Schizosaccharomyces pombe: one gene and its partners. The gene in region 1 interacts genetically with each later gene. Each region holds a gene or a part of one and is shown in the gene's direction. Other genes may lie near its edges. The genes, in order: cds1, mad2, cdc10 and pof3.

Region 1 (4,319 bases):
ATATAACGAAGGGCAGATTTATCGAACTCAACGGTCTTTAAAACTTTTTCCACATGAGCAGGATGCTCTAATAAAACCCTGCTCAATTCATCTATCTCTACATGGAGTTAGCATAATTGTAATGACTAAATTGACTCACCCTTATCCAAATCAATAGATCCAGATTCCATTTTGCCAGAAAATTGGCTACTGAACACTTACTGACAAGGTGTTCAAGTGATGGTGGATGCGAACATGTAAATTGTAAATACGTGAACAAATATATCAATCAAAAAATTAGCTAACCCAACGAAACTAACAAAAAAAATTTAATTATTCTTTGACATAAATATAAGTCACGCATTGTAGCAAAGATTGATTAATACAAGTTCAATACCCAAGTATACAGACAATGAAAGAAGGAACGCAATCGATTTCTTATTTAAAACCCAGAAATCTAAGCGAGAACCTCTACATTAATCATTATTGTAGTGTTCAGCTATTTGTATGCGCATGAAAAGATTTAATTTCTCATTTCAAATCATGATAAAACATATACTCGTGAATTTATATAGAAAGCTCGAGGCAAGATATTGAGATAAGTTATGAAAATGATCTAATTATAAGCAAAAACATTAAGACTATTGGCTTAAATAACAAACGAGGAAATTAAAGAATATGGAAAAAAGGATTATATATGTTTTCTGAATTCAGATACCTTTTTCTTCTGCGAGACAAAGGCAATAACTTGTAAAGTTATTTGCAATGGCGGTAGAATTAAACATAGTAAGGTAAAAAAATAGGAAGGTGTGATTAAAGGTAGGACATTATGTATGTTTTCATATAAGGTCTCAAGATCCGAATTATTTTCTATTACAATGTCCGCAAGCTGACACTTAAGTTCAAGAGGCATCTGCGCTTGTACTCGGTTTTCAGCATCCTCTGCAGTAAGCTCAGGATTACGTGCCAGCAAACGTTGCTTTTGAATGCTTTTATCGCAAGACACGCAGATCGTTTTCCAGCAAATAAATTGCATTTTAGCTTCAAAAAGCAAAGGAACGTCCAAAATAACTATGCTGTAACCCCGTACGTAACATCGAAGCAGTTCTTTGAGCATTTCCAAACGTACTGCTGGATGTATTATTGAATTCAAAAGTGACCTCTTTCCTGCGTCTTGAAATACTGCCTGGCCAAGCTTTGCTCGATTCAAAGTGCCATCTTCATGTAATACTTCATTACCGAACTCTTTCTGAATTTTTATTAAGCAAGGTGTATTCGGTTCTACCACCTTTCTAGCTAACACATCAGCATCGATAATTTTTATATGATATTTCTCTTGAAACTCGCGAGAAACTGTAGATTTCCCTTAACTAGGTTAACCACTATTAAACCAATTGTTATTTGATAACTTACCCGTGGCAATTGAGCCGGTTAAACCAAGAATCAGCATTATATTTCTTATTCCTTGCTTTGGTATAGAAGATTTTTGAATAATGGTAACAATTAAGGAGATCAGAAAACTATTTAATGCCGTAGAACAAAGTCTTCAATCGCGGAAGTCGAAGTTTGAAATACAAAGGAATGTTGACAGATGGCAACCTTCACGTATACCAAAAAAATATAAATAGGGATTACTACTACTTAACAATTAACATTTAATCCTCACTACGTATAACGTACAGTAAAGTAGGTGGATGAAACATTGTTTATATTACTCGTGCTTCGCGAAAAATCTGGTATTGCAACAGTTCGTTATTATTGTCTTATGATACATTTTATATCGTAAAATTTATAACGATGTTTAAAGCGAAGTCAGTAAATCATAAGCCCTCGTCTGACATGATAACTGCTTCTTTGGTCTTTTTACTTCTGTTAAAAGCTTGATCACTCATTTGCACGTTTATTTGTGTTTACTGATATACATGGTTAAAGAATTCATCCAGTTTTTCTGTTTTTAAGATACTATGGAAGAACCAGAAGAAGCTACGCAGGCTACTCAAGAGGCACCACTACATGTTAGTCAGAACATAGCCAAACAGGTGGTTAACAACGAAAATGTATTTATGAAATTGGTTATGACTCGCATGCTTGATGGTAAGACAGAAGTGATTCCTCTTACTACAGATGTGCACAATGGGTTTTGGAGATTTGGACGTCATAAATCTTGTGAAGTGGTTTTAAACGGACCTAGAGTTAGCAACTTTCATTTTGAAATCTATCAGGTATATAAAATAATAGTGGCCAGCTGAACTCGTTTAGTTTTAATTGAACTTCAATCTCTTTAAGACATAATTATCTAACGAAATGACCCAGGGGCATAGAAATGATTCCGATGAATCTGAGAATGTCGTTTTTTTACACGGTAAGTCTAAAGGATTAAAAAATCTTTTAAAGTCTTCTGCCTCTTCCACCTTTTCTAACAATTTCAGACCACTCTTCTAATGGAACATTTCTGAATTTTGTAAGCGAGAGCTTAATTCGTTTACAATTTACTGACGTCATTTAGGAACGGCTTGCCAAGAATAGTAGAACTATCTTGTCAAACGGAGATGAAATTCGAATTGGCCTAGGTGTGCCGAAAGATGAAATTTGTACGTCCTTTACACTGAAGGAGATTGTTGACGTAGAATTCACTTCAAGTTTGCTTACAGTCTTATAGCTTTTTTGTGCCAGGTACCAGTTAAACATTCACGAGATTCCCAGAAAAACATGATTAAATCCGAGAACAGTCATTACGAAATTATTCGTACACTTGGAAGTGGTACATTTGCAGTTGTCAAGCTAGCGGTAGAAGTGAATAGTGGCAAGTGGTATGCTATTAAAATTATCAACAAACGAAAAATCCTTTTGACAAGTTCGGAAAAGCGAGCTACTGAAATGTTTCAACGAGAAATTGATATATTAAAATCTTTGCACCATGTGAGTATCATTTTATGTTCACCTTTTTTTATACGAAAAACTCCTAGCTAACACTTATCTTTTAGCCAGGAGTTGTACAATGCCATGAAATTTTTGAAAATGATGACGAGTTATTTATTGTTATGGAATATGTTGAGGGTGGGGATCTTATGGATTTTTTAATTGCTAATGGCTCCATCGACGAACAAGACTGTAAACCTCTTCTCAAACAACTTTTAGAAACGCTTTTACATTTGCACAAGCAGGGTGTGACACATAGAGACATAAAACCCGAGGTATATCTTGTTTATTGATAAGAAAGTCTAACTTGTAGAACATTCTTATAACAAATGATTTCCATCTTAAAATATCTGATTTTGGCTTGGCTAAAGTTATTCATGGGACGGGAACCTTTTTAGAAACATTTTGCGGGACAATGGGTTATCTAGCACCGGAAGTTTTGAAGTCAAAAAACGTCAACTTGGACGGAGGTTATGATGATAAAGTTGATATATGGAGTTTGGGATGTGTTTTATATGTGATGTAAGTTTGTCGGCTTTAATCAATTAGCAATGAACCTTCATGCCTTAATTTTTTCCAATTACTAATTCACAGGCTTACTGCGTCTATTCCTTTTGCATCTTCGTCACAAGCAAAATGTATTGAGTTGATATCAAAAGGTGCATATCCGATAGAGCCTTTATTAGAAAACGAAATTTCAGAAGAGGGAATCGATTTAATCAACAGGATGCTTGAAATTAATCCAGAGAAAAGAATATCTGAAAGTGAAGCTCTCCAGCATCCTTGGTTTTACACTGTGAGCACACACGAACATCGTACTCCACCATCATCGTCTGAACATGAGGCCACCGAACAGCTCAATTCTTCGAGTTAGATTATTAATATTTAGTATTCTAAATGATAATTAATTTTTATACTTAGACCGTCAAATTTATAATATTGTAAATAGACAGTAAGTTTACACTAACCACTCTGTCCACGTACTACTATCCCTTTGGACGTCTCGACGCGATCTTTGCCATGTGTGCTTCAGTTACAGAATCGCTTGTATGTTAATGATTTATAAAAACTAGAGCATAAAATACTAAAACTTTCTTTTTTCTTTTTAGCCAAAGTTTCCCGAATTGAAAACTCGAGATTTACAAGGGCAACAGGGACCTATACGTTCCCTAGGCTGGAATCTTTCCGGCTCGAGACTTGCGAGTTCTTCATCTTCAGGATCAGTACTTGTTTGGAATTCAGATCGTTTGGATTTTAAATTTACTACTGAATTAGGGAACAGAGGATATGGTCTTGTCGAACAACTAGTATGGGATCCTACGCATTCTGATCGGTTAATGGCTGTGTATGCTGGGAAAATGATCCGTTTCTGGGACTTTAGAAGTATGCAATGAAGTCTTTGACTGTTTGTTAACTATTTA
Region 2 (3,317 bases), on another chromosome or scaffold:
GTTTTGAAAGCGAAACGATTGCTTTCGCATTCAAGTATAAATTTTTTGCATTTTGCGGAGTACCTCTTTTTCCACCGGGGATTTCAACAAACTCATGGTTTGCTTCTTATGACAAAGGAATTTACAACTTGCTTTTTGGCATGGCTTCCAGTGAATCCTTTATAAATGGACAGATAGCTGAGAAAAACAGCTTTCAATTTCCCTGTAGTATACTACCTTCATACATTGATCTCTTCATTTCTCTTATGTCGTTTAAAAATTTAAATTTCAAGTTATTTGATTACAACCTTGCACATCATGTGAAGGAATCAATGGAGCGTGCTTTTCATCAACTAGTATTTTCGGCGGACGATGAGTATTTAGCGAGCGTTTATTTAATTTATTTAAAGCAAATGGAGACGAAGAACCTAAGTGAGGAGAAACCCCAAGTGAAGTAAGTAGATGTTTTTGTTTCCTTCTAACCAAATTCAGTAAAATTGTAAAGAAGATTCTCAAAAAATACGATAGTTCAGTGTCTGTTTGGAACACTTACGCTCAATTGGAACACTTAAGTGGTGCTTTTACTATGGCTGAAACAATTTTTAAAACAATTTTTCAGATCCATGCTTCCCAATTGCGCTACATTGATAATTTAAATGTATACAAAAACTGGGCTTTTAGAAAGCTACTTATTAATGATACTGAAGGATGCTTAGTTATTATAAAATGCCTGTTGTTTCCTGGTGATAAATCTTTAACTAGCGATAATAATCGAGCATCCGAAATGCTATTTGGTATGTTGGAAAATTGCGCCAGCAAGGAAGAATTGCTGTATGTTTGTCTTATCTATACTATATGGACACACTGTACTGATATGGATTCAATGGATAATTGTGTGTATTTATGCATTCAAAAATTCGAAAGCTATGGATGGGGGGCTTCTTCAGAAATGGAATGCTATTTTTCTTATTGTTCATTGATTTTTTATTATCAAGCTACCACTCTTCAATTCTATAATCTACCCAAGGTTCGACCTTTTTTTGAAAAGGGAGTTACACTTTTCAGTGCAAATACGGCTATATGGGAAGTTTATATATTTTTTGAATCTAAGTTGAGACAAGAGAACAAACCAAAAATTAGGGCTATGAAAATTTTAAAATCTGCTTCAAATGCTGTTGTTACAGCTTGTTGGTACCTTTTTTATGTTGCCGTTCAACAGATTGAGCCAACAAACTCACAGTACTTTTTAAGGACTTTGGATATCACTCTAAATAATGAAAAGTTGAAATCCGTCGCCAAGTTTTGGAGAATATATTTAAAGATTCTCAATTTGCGATTAAATGGTACTGAATGGGTTTCGGCGATTACCACCAAAGCATTGGCTTCCTGCCCCTGTAATAAAGGTAAGTTAATTAAAAACATAGAACATTTCACTGACTAAGTTTAGGGGTTTGTATGGACGTTATAGACTTGCTCTTGAAAAAAGAGATGGAGAGTCGGGCTATTATTTGCTATATAATCATGTTGGAAAAAGGCTTTAGAGTCCATAACGAAATAAGGAGAGATGTTTTAAAGTTTGAAAGAGGAGATGAACTTATTTTGTCCCCAAACTGACATTATTACGATCAATGACTTTTAATGATAGAGATAGTGAAATGAGTTTAAAATGACAGATTAGTTACTTTCAAGTTTGCGTAAATGCTTTAGTAGTCTTATTATTAAAGTTTTCACTTTTGTTTGTTAAATGCTTATATGGTTGCTTTTACGTTGAAAGGGTACCTCTAAGCAACCATCATGGCAGTACCTACTCAATTACTACACAACCTATTGCTTATTACAAAAATCTACAACACAACATGTCTAGCGTTCCCATAAGAACGAATTTTTCACTGAAAGGTTCTTCCAAACTTGTTAGCGAATTTTTTGGTTTGTAAATGTTTCAAATATGCCATGCTAACTTAATGAAGAATATGCGGTGAACTCAATCCTTTTTCAACGAGGAATTTACCCAGCAGAAGACTTCAAAGTTGTTCGGAAATATGGATTAAATATGCTTGTCAGTGTAGATGAAGAGGTCAAGACTTACATTCGAAAAATTGTATCTCAGTTACACAGTGAGTTGTTGTTCTATTATCACTTTTGGAATTAACAAATTTTTAGAATGGATGTTTGCAAAAAAAATTCAAAAACTGATTTTGGTAATTACTAGTAAATGTTCAGGTGAAGATTTAGAGCGGTGGCAGTTTAATGTGGAGATGGTTGACACAGCTGATCAATTTCAGAACATTGGCAACAAAGAAGATGAACTGCGAGTACAAAAAGAAATTCAAGCTCTAATTCGTCAAATCACTGCTACAGTGACCTTTTTGCCTCAACTAGAAGAACAGTGTACGTTTAACGTTTTGGTATACGCTGATAAAGACAGCGAAGTTCCAACAGATTGGGTAGACAGTGACCCTAGGATTTTAAGAGATGCTGAACAAGTTCAATTACGAAGTTTTAGTACGAGTATGCACAAAATTGATTGTCAAGTTGCATATCGAGTGAATCCTTAGTTGTTTTTTTTGGCATGATCCTTACCTATTAGATGAGATAATAGAAAACAAAGCTTTGATGTGTTCTATAAATCTCAAAATTCCGGCCATATTGTTTAACTATAATTCGGTGAATCCTATGTTTGTTTTAATGTCCAATATTTATAATTTTGTGACGCATCTCTATTCTATCCATTTATTTAATAATACTTTTGCATTCTTTAAAATATAATCATCTTCTCTTATTCATTAAACAAAATACACTATAGCAACAGCTCGCAATGATGTTTTCATTGAAACTTTGCGGCAGTAAATCAACATTTTAAACTGATGGTAGCATTTGCGAGGTAAGATTCTATATGCCAAGGTAACGACATTCATCTCTTGAGGTAGGTTTCTGACTACAAAATGAACACAGTAGCAAATAATTTAACAGAATTGAACAATGTGTATATCATTTTAAATATCAAAGTTAGAAATTCTAATTTAGTCAAGACGTGTTCCTCAATTTTTTTAAGACTGTTGAGAAGCTGGAATATTATTGTTAACGGAGTTTTCCGTATTTAATAACATTATCACTAATAAACATTAACTCGCGTTATCTATTAATAACGATTCAGTATGTATGACATCTATTCATCAGTTACTTAGCCTTTACTAGTACTGAGTGTGAATCATCGTTTCCTCAGAGAATACCAAGACTTGGACGGTTCCTCTTTTCTCTTTGCTTCTTGAATTTTGGGGCTATCTAGTTTTTTTTTGAAATTTCTTAAAGATTTATTCTTAAAAGCTTGAGGATTTCTG
Region 3 (5,506 bases), on another chromosome or scaffold:
TAATAATAGAGCTTCTCGTGAATATCCTATCGCACGAGAAAAAGAAATTTCATTAATCTACTTATTACGAGATTATCTTTTCCATCAGATAGATGAAGATGAGTGTCCTGTGATAGATTTATATCAAGTGCTGAATCGCCTGGGAAAGGTAAGTTTTTTACATTTTTCTCATTATTGCATTTATTAATTCATTAGCTTGATGCCGGTATAAATCAAGCCATCGCATTAATTTCCCGAGATGAACTTGATTGTGTTTCAGTTTCTTATGGGGAGGTAAGTATTTGCTCAAAAAGCCATAGTGGGTGCTTAGTAAATTAGACTACTTTTCCACACTATATAGCCTGTTTGTTTGCAAAATTACTAACAATAACAAATGTAGCTAAAAGCTTGGTTGGACAACGTTTACGAAATGGAAATAAATTCTTAAAATAAAACATTTTTCTTTACAGAATATTTATTTGTTTTTTTGTATCTATTACCATGGTTGTTAATTTAAGTAAATAATAGTTTTCGCTATAATAATATTAGAAGGAAGCTAAGCTTAATGTGGTTTTGAATTACCTACTGCAACACACCGTATTGAAACAAAAACGATCAGGAATAGAAGCCTGACACTTATCAGATAAAATTCATTAATACGTTTTCCTGGTTTAATTATTAATTACGGAAACTCCCATGCTTGTTAAGGTACATACAGACGGTTAATCATAAACTTCTTAGAGGAGAGAGTTTAGCAGTTGTCCTCAAAAAATGGCAAACCCTTTCGTTCGAAATCAATCTTTTAAATCAGTATTTTTTAAAAATTTAGTCGGAATTACCCTATGGGTACCCGTATTAATGTTCGTTGAACAACATGTAGTCAGCGTCGGTACAATTGAAGGTAGATCTATGAAACCAGCCTTTAACCCTGAGACAAACATGCTGCAGAGAGATAGGGTACTACTTTGGAAATGGAATAAGGATTACAAAAGAGGAGATGTAGTTATACTACGGTAAGTTCTTGGATCGTTGCAGGGTCTTTCGGTACTGAGTTTCCCTTTTTATCGTTACTAATAAGCAACAAGCTCTCCAGAAAACCCAGAGGAACTATTGGTAAAAAGAGTTCTAGGAGTAGAATACGATATCATGAAAACGAGACCTCCTAAAAAGTTGTCATTAGTACCCGTTCCCGAGGGACATGTGTGGGTCGAAGGCGATGAACAATTTCATTCTATGTAGGTTTCCAACAATTGTTTTTTTACTTTTTCGTTTTCTTCTATAGAGATATTAACTAGTTTACAGTGATAGTAACAAATTTGGCCCAGTATCGACAGGACTCATCACTGCCAAAGTGATTGCAATTTTGTTTCCCTTCTCTCGTGCAGGGCGTATTGATCATGAAGGTTTCCGAAAGAATGCAGTGTTTTTAAGTGGAAAACGTTCTGTTAAGTAAGCTGCACCACAGTGAACCTGTTTCCTTGACAGTTTAGTTCCATGCTGGTTGGTGCTTATTTACATTTCTTTTAAGGAACACGTTATCCTTAAATTTAATTTATTTCGACGCGTCGCGTTCTATATATGACGTCATTAATATGTCTATCTATTTACCTATTTGAAAAAGATGGAAGTTGGAAGCTACTTTGTATTAGAAATACCAATAAAAAAATATAATTTTTTCATACTCAACATCAAAACTTTTATTTAGGGAAAATTAGAATTGACTGAAAAATCCGTCTCTTTTGCATATCCCGAAACAGTAAAGTCGTTGAGTATAGCAAAGTTGGAAATTTTTCAACAGGGTATTTGAAATGAGAAAGAATTCCATTTCTAAGTAGCCTTTAAATAAAACCCCCAGAAGAAACGAACATTGAAGTAGTCCTTTGTTTTCCTTAGGAAGCCTCATATATCGTTACTTCGAATACGGTCTAACGCCGTACCAAATGTATACAGCTGCGTGAACCTTCCCAGAGCGAATTTGTGTATAACACGAAATCCGAAAAAATTACTTCTATTTATTTGAAAAAGAAAGGAATTCACAATCTCTTAAACAAACCAAGTGGTGAGGAGCTCGAGTCTTCTTTCATGGTCAGTTCAGCACCCTTATTTTCGAGAAAAACGTGCTGCCCTTTATAAAAAATTCGATATTTTTTCGGCATTTTTTATTTTAATATACTATAATGGCTTCAGCCAATTTTATTCGCCAGTTTGAGCTGGGGAACGATTCTTTTTCATACCAAAAACGCCCAGAGGATGAGCCATCACAACCCCTTTCAAACAGAAATATAAACAAACTAAACGATTCATCTACTTTAAAAGACTCTAGTTCAAGGATTTTTATTAACTCCCAAGTTTTACGTGATGGCCGACCCGTAGAATTGTATGCTGTCGAATGTTCAGGCATGAAATATATGGAGCTTAGCTGTGGGGATAATGTTGCTCTTCGAAGATGTCCAGATTCTTACTTTAATATCTCTCAAATACTTCGACTTGCTGGTACTTCGTCATCTGAAAACGCCAAAGAATTGGATGATATTATCGAGAGTGGGGACTATGAGAATGTTGACTCCAAACACCCTCAAATAGATGGAGTATGGGTTCCATATGATCGAGCAATTTCTATAGCAAAGCGATATGGGGTTTATGAAATTTTACAACCATTAATTTCTTTTAATCTTGATTTATTCCCCAAATTTTCAAAGCAGCAACAAATCGAAAGTTCTTCAATCTCCAAAAATTTAAATACTTCTTCTTTTAATACGCGATCCCCTTTGAGGAATCATAATTTTTCAAACCCTAGCAAGTCTTCAAAGAATGGGGTGCACACTATAAACAATATGCAGAGTTCACCTTCACCTTCTTCCTCTTTCTTACTACCTTTAACTCAAATTGATAGCCAAAATGTTAAACGCTCTAACAATTACCTCTCCACCTCTCCACCTATCCTTGAACAGCGTTTAAAACGGCATAGAATTGATGTCAGTGATGAAGACTTACATCCCTCCTCACAGTTAAATGATAATGAGGCCTCTTCATTGTTTCCAGATACGCCAAGGTTGAACCATTCACTTTCTTTTGTATCCTTGGTTTCTAGTCTTCCTCCACTTGATCAGAATATTATGCAGGATTATCATACATCAAAAGACATTTTGACCTCTATCTTTTTAGATGTAAACTTTGCTGATTCCAGCGCCTTAGAAGCAAAGCTGTCGGACTCATTAGATTTGGATGTCCCCATTGACGAACTTGGACACGCCGCTCTGCACTGGGCAGCAGCCGTTGCCAAAATGCCTTTGTTACAAGCCTTAATACATAAAGGAGCTAATCCTTTACGTGGCAACCTCACAGGAGAAACGGCATTAATGAGATCGGTTTTGGTAACCAATCATCTCAATCAGAACTCTTTTGGTGATTTACTAGACTTGCTTTACGCATCTCTTCCCTGTACAGATCGAGCTGGACGGACCGTCGTTCATCACATTTGTCTTACTGCAGGTATAAAAGGCCGAGGTTCAGCATCGAGATATTACTTAGAAACCTTATTAAATTGGGCAAAGAAACATGCAAGTGGTAACAACGGATATATGCTGAAAGACTTCATAAACTATTTAAATCATCAAGATAAAAATGGGGATACAGCTTTAAATATCGCAGCAAGAATTGGAAATAAGAACATTGTTGAAGTTTTAATGCAAGCCGGAGCTTCCGCTTATATTCCTAATCGTGCAGGGTTAAGCGTAGCAAATTTTGGAATTTTTGTTGAAAACGCATTAAAACAACCCGAAGACTCAAAACAAACAAAAGTTTCCCTTATGAGTGAAAATCTGTCCAGCAAAGAAAAGACTGCTGTCCCTCCTCGTCAAAAGAGTAGAGACATTATCGCCTCTGTGACCGATGTAATATCTTCTCTGGATAAAGATTTTCAGGATGAAATGGCTGCAAAACAGTCTATGATTGACTCAGCCTACACCCAATTGCGTGAATCTACAAAAAAGCTGTCCGATCTTCGTGAACAACTACACGTGTCCGAGACGCAAAGAACTTTGTTTCTTGAATTAAGGCAACGTTGTAAAAATCTTATGACTTCGATCGAAGAACAGAAAAGTGAATTAAGTAATCTTTATGAATCTTTTGATCCCAATGGAATACACGATTCATTATCATTGGATGCTGACGCTCCTTTTACTGTCAATGAAAACAACAACAAAAATTTATCTATTGCTGAATTGAAGTTTCAAGTTGCTGCTTATGAGAGAAATGAAGCCAGATTAAACGAATTAGCGAACAAACTTTGGCAACGAAATTCCAACATAAAATCAAAGTGCCGTCGGGTTGTTTCCCTATGCACCGGTGTCGATGAATCTCGAGTGGATTCATTATTGGAAAGTTTGTTACAAGCCGTGGAAAGTGACGGTCAACAGGGAGAAGTAGATATGGGTCGAGTTGCTGGATTCTTACGTGTTGTTAAAGAACATCAAGCATAATATTGCTTTTTGTGGTTTACCACTAAAGTGTCCTGAAATAATTAACTACTTTAATTTTTTTCTTAATATAGAATCCTACCAAATGAATAAAACGTAATTTATTATATGTTAATAATCTTGGCTATTGGAAATTAGTTAAATTTTCATTAAGCTTTTCGAAATATGTTTTTTGCTCTATAGCTAAATTTCCCGATACGCCGCTAAGAACAGTCGAAATGAGGGTATAATTATTGGACAAAAACCTACTTTGTCTCCTTTTGTCATTAACTGTTTTACACAGGTTTTGTAACATGCTCACATAATCCTGAGCTAGTCTTGAAGCACTTCGTGCAACAGGCTCGGCTTCTACGACATTAACACTTAGCATCGAAAGGCTATAAAGTAGTTCAGCTACTCGCTGCGAAAGTGGATGAGGTCGCGAAGTGATTTCTTCTGGCTTCACAGATAAGTTAGTTTTACGGAGTGACTCACAGTGCATGTCCATGACAGCTTGAAAGCGAGGCCACAGAAAAAGAATCATGGAGTTATAGTGTGGCTCAATAACAGGCACTATATTAGTTTGCGCCTGTAAAGCTAATTTTTGAGTAAAACGAATGGACTTCAAAATACCTATGCAATCGATACTGCTTGATATCAATCCTGTAATGTATTTGCGTGAAAAATGTAAAGTTTTTTCAAAGATAGCGGCAAAAACGGTAGCCTGCTGATCTTTAGAGAGGTTAAAGTACTCCAGCAAAAAAGCATATTCAGAAGAGACGTGTTCCGTCAAGACTAATTCCCATGAGCAATAAACACGTTCAATATATTGTGGGGAAGATTCAATATGATGCATTGTAGATGCTGTCAACACAGAGTTCATATCAAAATCCTGAGGGCGCAAGTTTACTGAGAGCATTTGATTCCCGTAAGATTGTTGTGCTCCTTTGGAAAGGTTGAAGAGTCCTTTCCGATCCTCTTCAACGCGAATAGTTTCTCCCTTAAGGACATGAACTTTGTCCAAAAACCTAGAGTACTGTTCGAAGTGGTATAGATAAAACCAATTCATC
Region 4 (4,231 bases), 610 kb from region 1:
TCTCAACTTCCCGAAGGAATAAGGGAGCTTGGAAGACAACTGGATATGTTTCTGGCCGAACGTCAATCTGTCGTTGTTGATCATTTTAATCACGCTGAAGGTTCTGACGATATCATTCTCTTGGATGGAATATCGGAAAACCCATATATCATTTCTGATGAGACCCGGGCTGCTGGCCCTATTTTATATAAAGGGATTGGCCATTATTTAGGTCCAAATCCACAGACACAACCTATTCTTCGTGGTAATCCAACCTCTTATATTTATAACACCAAAACTGAGGCTGAGGTCTCAAAGAATCCTTGGGCTGCTGGCACTCAACTGTTTTTGGTCAGTGTTTTGCAAAGTAGCACCGGCGAACGTGTTGGTCTTAGTGGCAGTATCGATATGTTAAAAGATGAATATTTGTCTCCCCAAAGCCCCTCGTTTTCCAAATCTAATTTTCTTTTTGCTCGTGATTTGACAAATTGGGTTTTCCAGCGCAAGGGTGTGTTGCAGGCCACTAACATGACTTATGGAAAGGTCGCTGAGCCATTAGAGTCTCGCAATGCTTCTTGTTATCGTATTAAAGATGAAATGGTAAGTTTTTTGTTTGTATTTAAAAAGCCTTTATTGATATTATGTCATAATTTAATTTTAGCAAGTATATTGTTTGAAGCGTACTTGAGCAGCACAATATTTTATCTCTTTCAAGAGTACTAACGTTTAGATTTTCTCAATCGACATATCTCTTTTAGAAGACGGTCAGCAAACTCCATACGTTGCAGATGATGTTCAATTGGAACTTATCATGTTGGACCCTTACTATCGTGTCAATCTCGTTCCAGTTCCATCGGATAGTCAAACATCTCAACATTATGAAGCTGTGTTAGTTGCGCCTGACCACTACGGCGACTTTACATTTAAAATCGAATACAAGCGTCCTGGCCTTACTCCTATTGAAGAGAAATCTACCTTTACACTTCGTCAATTCTTTCATAATGAGTTCCCTCGATTCCTCCCTCACGCCTATCCTTACTATGCCTCTTGTTTCTCTGTATTGGGTGCCTTTTTATTATTTTGTGGAATTTGGCTTCTCCAAAAACCCGCTAAACCTGTCGTTCCTTCTGCCAAAAAACAAAATTAGTTTAAATGAGTAACCTGACAACTGAAATATTTTTATCAGCTGCCTAAATACTCTCTTTATAATATAATGATGTTGGCCATATTTGGCGCTAATGAATCATTTGTTCCTACTGGGTTCTGAAAAAAAAGCGAAAACTGCATAATTTCGATTTGTTCTCGATTTCCATTAAATTTCATAGCTAATGTAAAGAAGTATGCTGTTGAGTGCGATTACTTTAATTTTCGATGAGTCGTATATGGTATAGGCTTCAGTGCAAAATAGTAAACACCATATAAGAAGCTATCCTTGCTTTATCTTTTAATCACTTTATTGTTTTGTACTCAATAGTTAAACCCAAATATTTTTTGATCGATTACCGTATGCTAATTTTGCTTGAGATTGTTTACGTGTTTTAACATATGAAAAGCATAACAAATAAGTAGATACTTTTTTTTCCAAACTTTTGGTTACATGCTTATTATTAGTATTTTTGCACATTCAATTTCTGTTTAAATGAAATTTGAAGGCGCTAGCTTTAACTATCCTTTAACAATTCTAACTTACTCCATAAAGCTTGCGACTACGAAAGCATAATATATACCTCAAAAAGGATATCGAGGTTCTTAAAATACGGTTCATTGGAAGCTATATGGGAGGTTTATGTTTATGTATAGAAAAAATAAATCGTTGGGTATAGAAATTAAGATTTGGATTCATGAATAACTATCAAGTAAAAGCAATAAAGGAGAAGACCCAGCAATATCTCTCTAAAAGGAAGTTTGAAGATGCATTGACATTCATTACTAAAACCATCGAACAGGAGCCCAATCCTACGATTGACTTGTTTGAACTAAGGGCTCAAGTTTACGAAAAGTCAGGTCAATACTCACAAGCAGAACTTGATGCTAAACGGATGATTCATTTGAATGCAAGAAATGCTAGAGGTTACCTACGCTTGGGAAAACTTTTACAGCTTGACGGCTTTGATAAGAAAGCAGATCAATTGTATACGCAAGGCCTGCGAATGGTGCATAAAATGGATCCCTTGAGACCGGTATTAAAAAAAGTAAGCCAAAGATTGAATGAAAGAATTCTTCGGACCAGGCCGGTACTAGATTTGTTTCGCATTCTTCCCCGAGAAGTCCTATTATGTATTCTACAGCAACTAAATTTCAAAAGTATTGTTCAGTGTATGCAAGTCTGCAAACACTGGAGAGACTGTATTAAGAAAGAACCTAGCTTATTTTGTTGCTTAGACTTTTCATGCGCCTCTCCTCGAAGTGTAAACTCTAGAGATCGAAACGTTATGGCTGTTGCTCGATACTCTGTTTATTCAAAAGACAATATACAGGAAGTAATTGGCTTAGAGAAGCTTGGTATATTAACACCTACCAAAGCCTTACTTCGTTCAGTCAAATCACTTAAAGTCTACAAAACCATTTCACCTCTCCACACTCAGTCAACGGATAAATTGTATACAATTTGGACGCCATTTTCTGAACTTCACTACTTTTATTGTGCTACTCCTATAACATTTTCCATAGCTTCTAAGATTTTATCTTGCTGTAAGAAACTCAAGCAGGTTGAGCTTGTTGACTTAATTCCCGATTTGATATTTGATTCTATGGATTGGGATAAACTCTTTAATGCAGAATCTGTACCGCTGGCTCTTAAATCTTTGACGTTTATCCGAAATCAAAAGTTTCCCTTTCACCATAAAGAACAGCAATTTCTTAAAGACTTGCTGTCTGCCAGTCCATATTTAGAATATCTGGAAGCCTCATATCAGTCAGACCTAGTTGCTGCAATAAAAAAATATAAAATTAATCTCCGATCGTTAATTATCATTGATGAAGGAGTATCGAATACTGTTAAAGATCTAGCATTCCTTCCTCAATCTCTTACCACGTTAATTGTGAAACCCTGCAATCCTGCATCTACAATTTTATGTCCATATTTATTCCCTACAAATGTCCGGATGGAATCACTAATCAACTTAGAGTTATTTCTTTATCTTCGTTTATCTCAAAATGATATCGATAATGTTGTCAAATTTTTGACTTCTTGTTACAAACTAAAAAAGCTGGTTCTACACGATTCGCTAGCATTGGCCCCCCATTTCTTTGAAATATTTGCATCTTTACCGGAACTTGAGCATCTTGAGATTCCTGATAACGTTGCTCTTCAAAATAAGCATGCAATACACATTACTGATTGTTGTCCAAATCTAAAGTATGTGAACTTTTCAAATTCAATATCCCTCGATGGATCGGGATTTATAGCAGTTTTACGAGGACTGAAAGAATTAAAACGTATAGATATTATTAATTGTGATTCTGTTTCTAGAGATGCAATAGATTGGGCGCGCTCCAAAGGTATGCAAGTTACCGTAGCTTCCTCGCTTCCAAATTCTCAACCATTGGGTACAAAAAAGATACGCCTAATATAATATGATCATATTGTCTTTATATATTCAATCCTAGTAAACCCGTATCATCGCATTGAAAGGAAGATTTTTAAGAGATAGATCAATCATTGAGAATAAATTAAAAAGCGCGTAAGCTATTTCTAATCATAACTTTGTGTTGAGCTGATAATATTACATACATCCAACAGTAATATCGTAACTCGGAAAAAGAAAGACATACAACTCGTGATTCCAAAAATAAAATAAAGATAAAAGAAAGCAATGAACAATATTACTGTCATAAAAATCTATTTCGTGTAAGTATTCACACTTATTTATAGATCTAATTGGATTTTGAAAAAATATTAACCGACCTCTCATAGTGATGAAAGTAGCATTCCACGTTTAGCAGTAAGCGTGATTTCGTTCTGAATGGCAACATCCTGCTTGACAGATATAACATCCTTCGTCGCTAAAACGAGGACATCAAAGAAAAGTTGAACAGCTTCCTCTCTATTGCATCCCGCACTAAGAGTTTGGAAGGATACTTTTTCACCTTCAGTATAAGGATCCCACTTATTGCGTAGAGAATCTTTGGCTGTTTGTGAACTAGGAAGGGCCTCAGATACCGAAGAGTCCAATCGTTCGCTTCCCAGCAAATCGGCCTCGTCCAGCATTACGGGAGGAGCGTCAAAAAGTGAATCATCGGCTGATTCCAA

The links.
Region 2: mutations in cds1 (region 1) and mad2 impair growth when combined (synthetic growth defect), as found in Schizosaccharomyces pombe (2 studies listed by BioGRID, with this or other methods).
Region 3: of cds1 (region 1) and cdc10, changing one suppresses a phenotype caused by changing the other (phenotypic suppression), as found in Schizosaccharomyces pombe (2 studies listed by BioGRID).
Region 4: mutations in cds1 (region 1) and pof3 impair growth when combined (synthetic growth defect), as found in Schizosaccharomyces pombe (2 studies listed by BioGRID).

What each region holds. Positions count from the first base shown.
Region 1 is NC_003421.2:738,855-743,173, reverse strand, and holds cds1 (replication checkpoint kinase cds1), read left to right. Parts: upstream 1-1,835; 5' UTR 1,836-1,943; coding exon 1,944-2,201; exon of another isoform or gene 2,202-2,292; coding exon 2,293-2,341; exon of another isoform or gene 2,342-2,408; coding exon 2,409-2,440; exon of another isoform or gene 2,441-2,485; coding exon 2,486-2,570; exon of another isoform or gene 2,571-2,638; coding exon 2,639-2,898; intron 2,899-2,963; coding exon 2,964-3,173; intron 3,174-3,211; coding exon 3,212-3,420; exon of another isoform or gene 3,421-3,492; coding exon 3,493-3,772; 3' UTR 3,773-3,813; downstream 3,814-4,319. Other genes in the region: ribosome biogenesis protein Urb1, read right to left, coding at 1-97, 140-170; cab5 (dephospho-CoA kinase), read right to left, coding at 671-1,344, 1,393-1,429; THO complex subunit Tho3, read left to right, coding at 3,919-3,945, 4,008-4,281. UniProt on the Schizosaccharomyces pombe protein: Has a role in the DNA replication-monitoring S/G2 checkpoint system. It is responsible for blocking mitosis in the S phase.
Region 2 is NC_003423.3:3,292,440-3,295,756, forward strand, and holds mad2 (mitotic spindle checkpoint protein Mad2), read left to right. Parts: upstream 1-1,835; coding exon 1,836-1,905; intron 1,906-1,946; coding exon 1,947-2,093; intron 2,094-2,139; coding exon 2,140-2,534; 3' UTR 2,535-2,756; downstream 2,757-3,317. Other genes in the region: nrl1 (NRDE-2 family protein), read left to right, coding at 1-433, 472-1,382, 1,427-1,593. UniProt on the Schizosaccharomyces pombe protein: Feedback control that prevents cells with incompletely assembled spindles from leaving mitosis. It interacts with the anaphase promoting complex/cyclosome (APC/C) thereby inhibiting APC/C-dependent proteolysis, a step required for exit from mitosis.
Region 3 is NC_003423.3:2,760,241-2,765,746, reverse strand, and holds cdc10 (DNA-binding transcription factor, MBF transcription factor complex subunit Cdc10), read left to right. Parts: upstream 1-1,946; 5' UTR 1,947-2,156; coding exon 2,157-4,460; 3' UTR 4,461-4,581; downstream 4,582-5,506. Other genes in the region: PAN complex subunit Ppk26, read left to right, coding at 1-148, 196-273, 380-427; mmp2 (endopeptidase catalytic subunit), read left to right, coding at 751-992, 1,065-1,214, 1,282-1,432; GARP complex subunit Vps52, read right to left, coding at 4,582-5,506. UniProt on the Schizosaccharomyces pombe protein: Major component of the cell cycle transcription factor complex MBF (MCB binding factor, also known as DSC1), that controls G1-S phase specific gene expression. Involved in the control of rRNA production, via interaction with pol5.
Region 4 is NC_003421.2:1,344,717-1,348,947, reverse strand, and holds pof3 (F-box protein Pof3), read left to right. Parts: upstream 1-1,672; 5' UTR 1,673-1,820; coding exon 1,821-3,554; 3' UTR 3,555-3,670; downstream 3,671-4,231. Other genes in the region: dolichyl-diphosphooligosaccharide--protein glycotransferase subunit Wbp1, read left to right, coding at 1-579, 710-1,126; mitotic cohesin complex non-SMC subunit Rad21, read right to left, coding at 3,890-4,231. UniProt on the Schizosaccharomyces pombe protein: Has a role in substrate recognition in the Skp1-Cullin-1/Cdc53-F-box (SCF) ubiquitin ligase complex. Required for the maintenance of telomere length and transcriptional silencing at the telomere. Also required for chromosome segregation.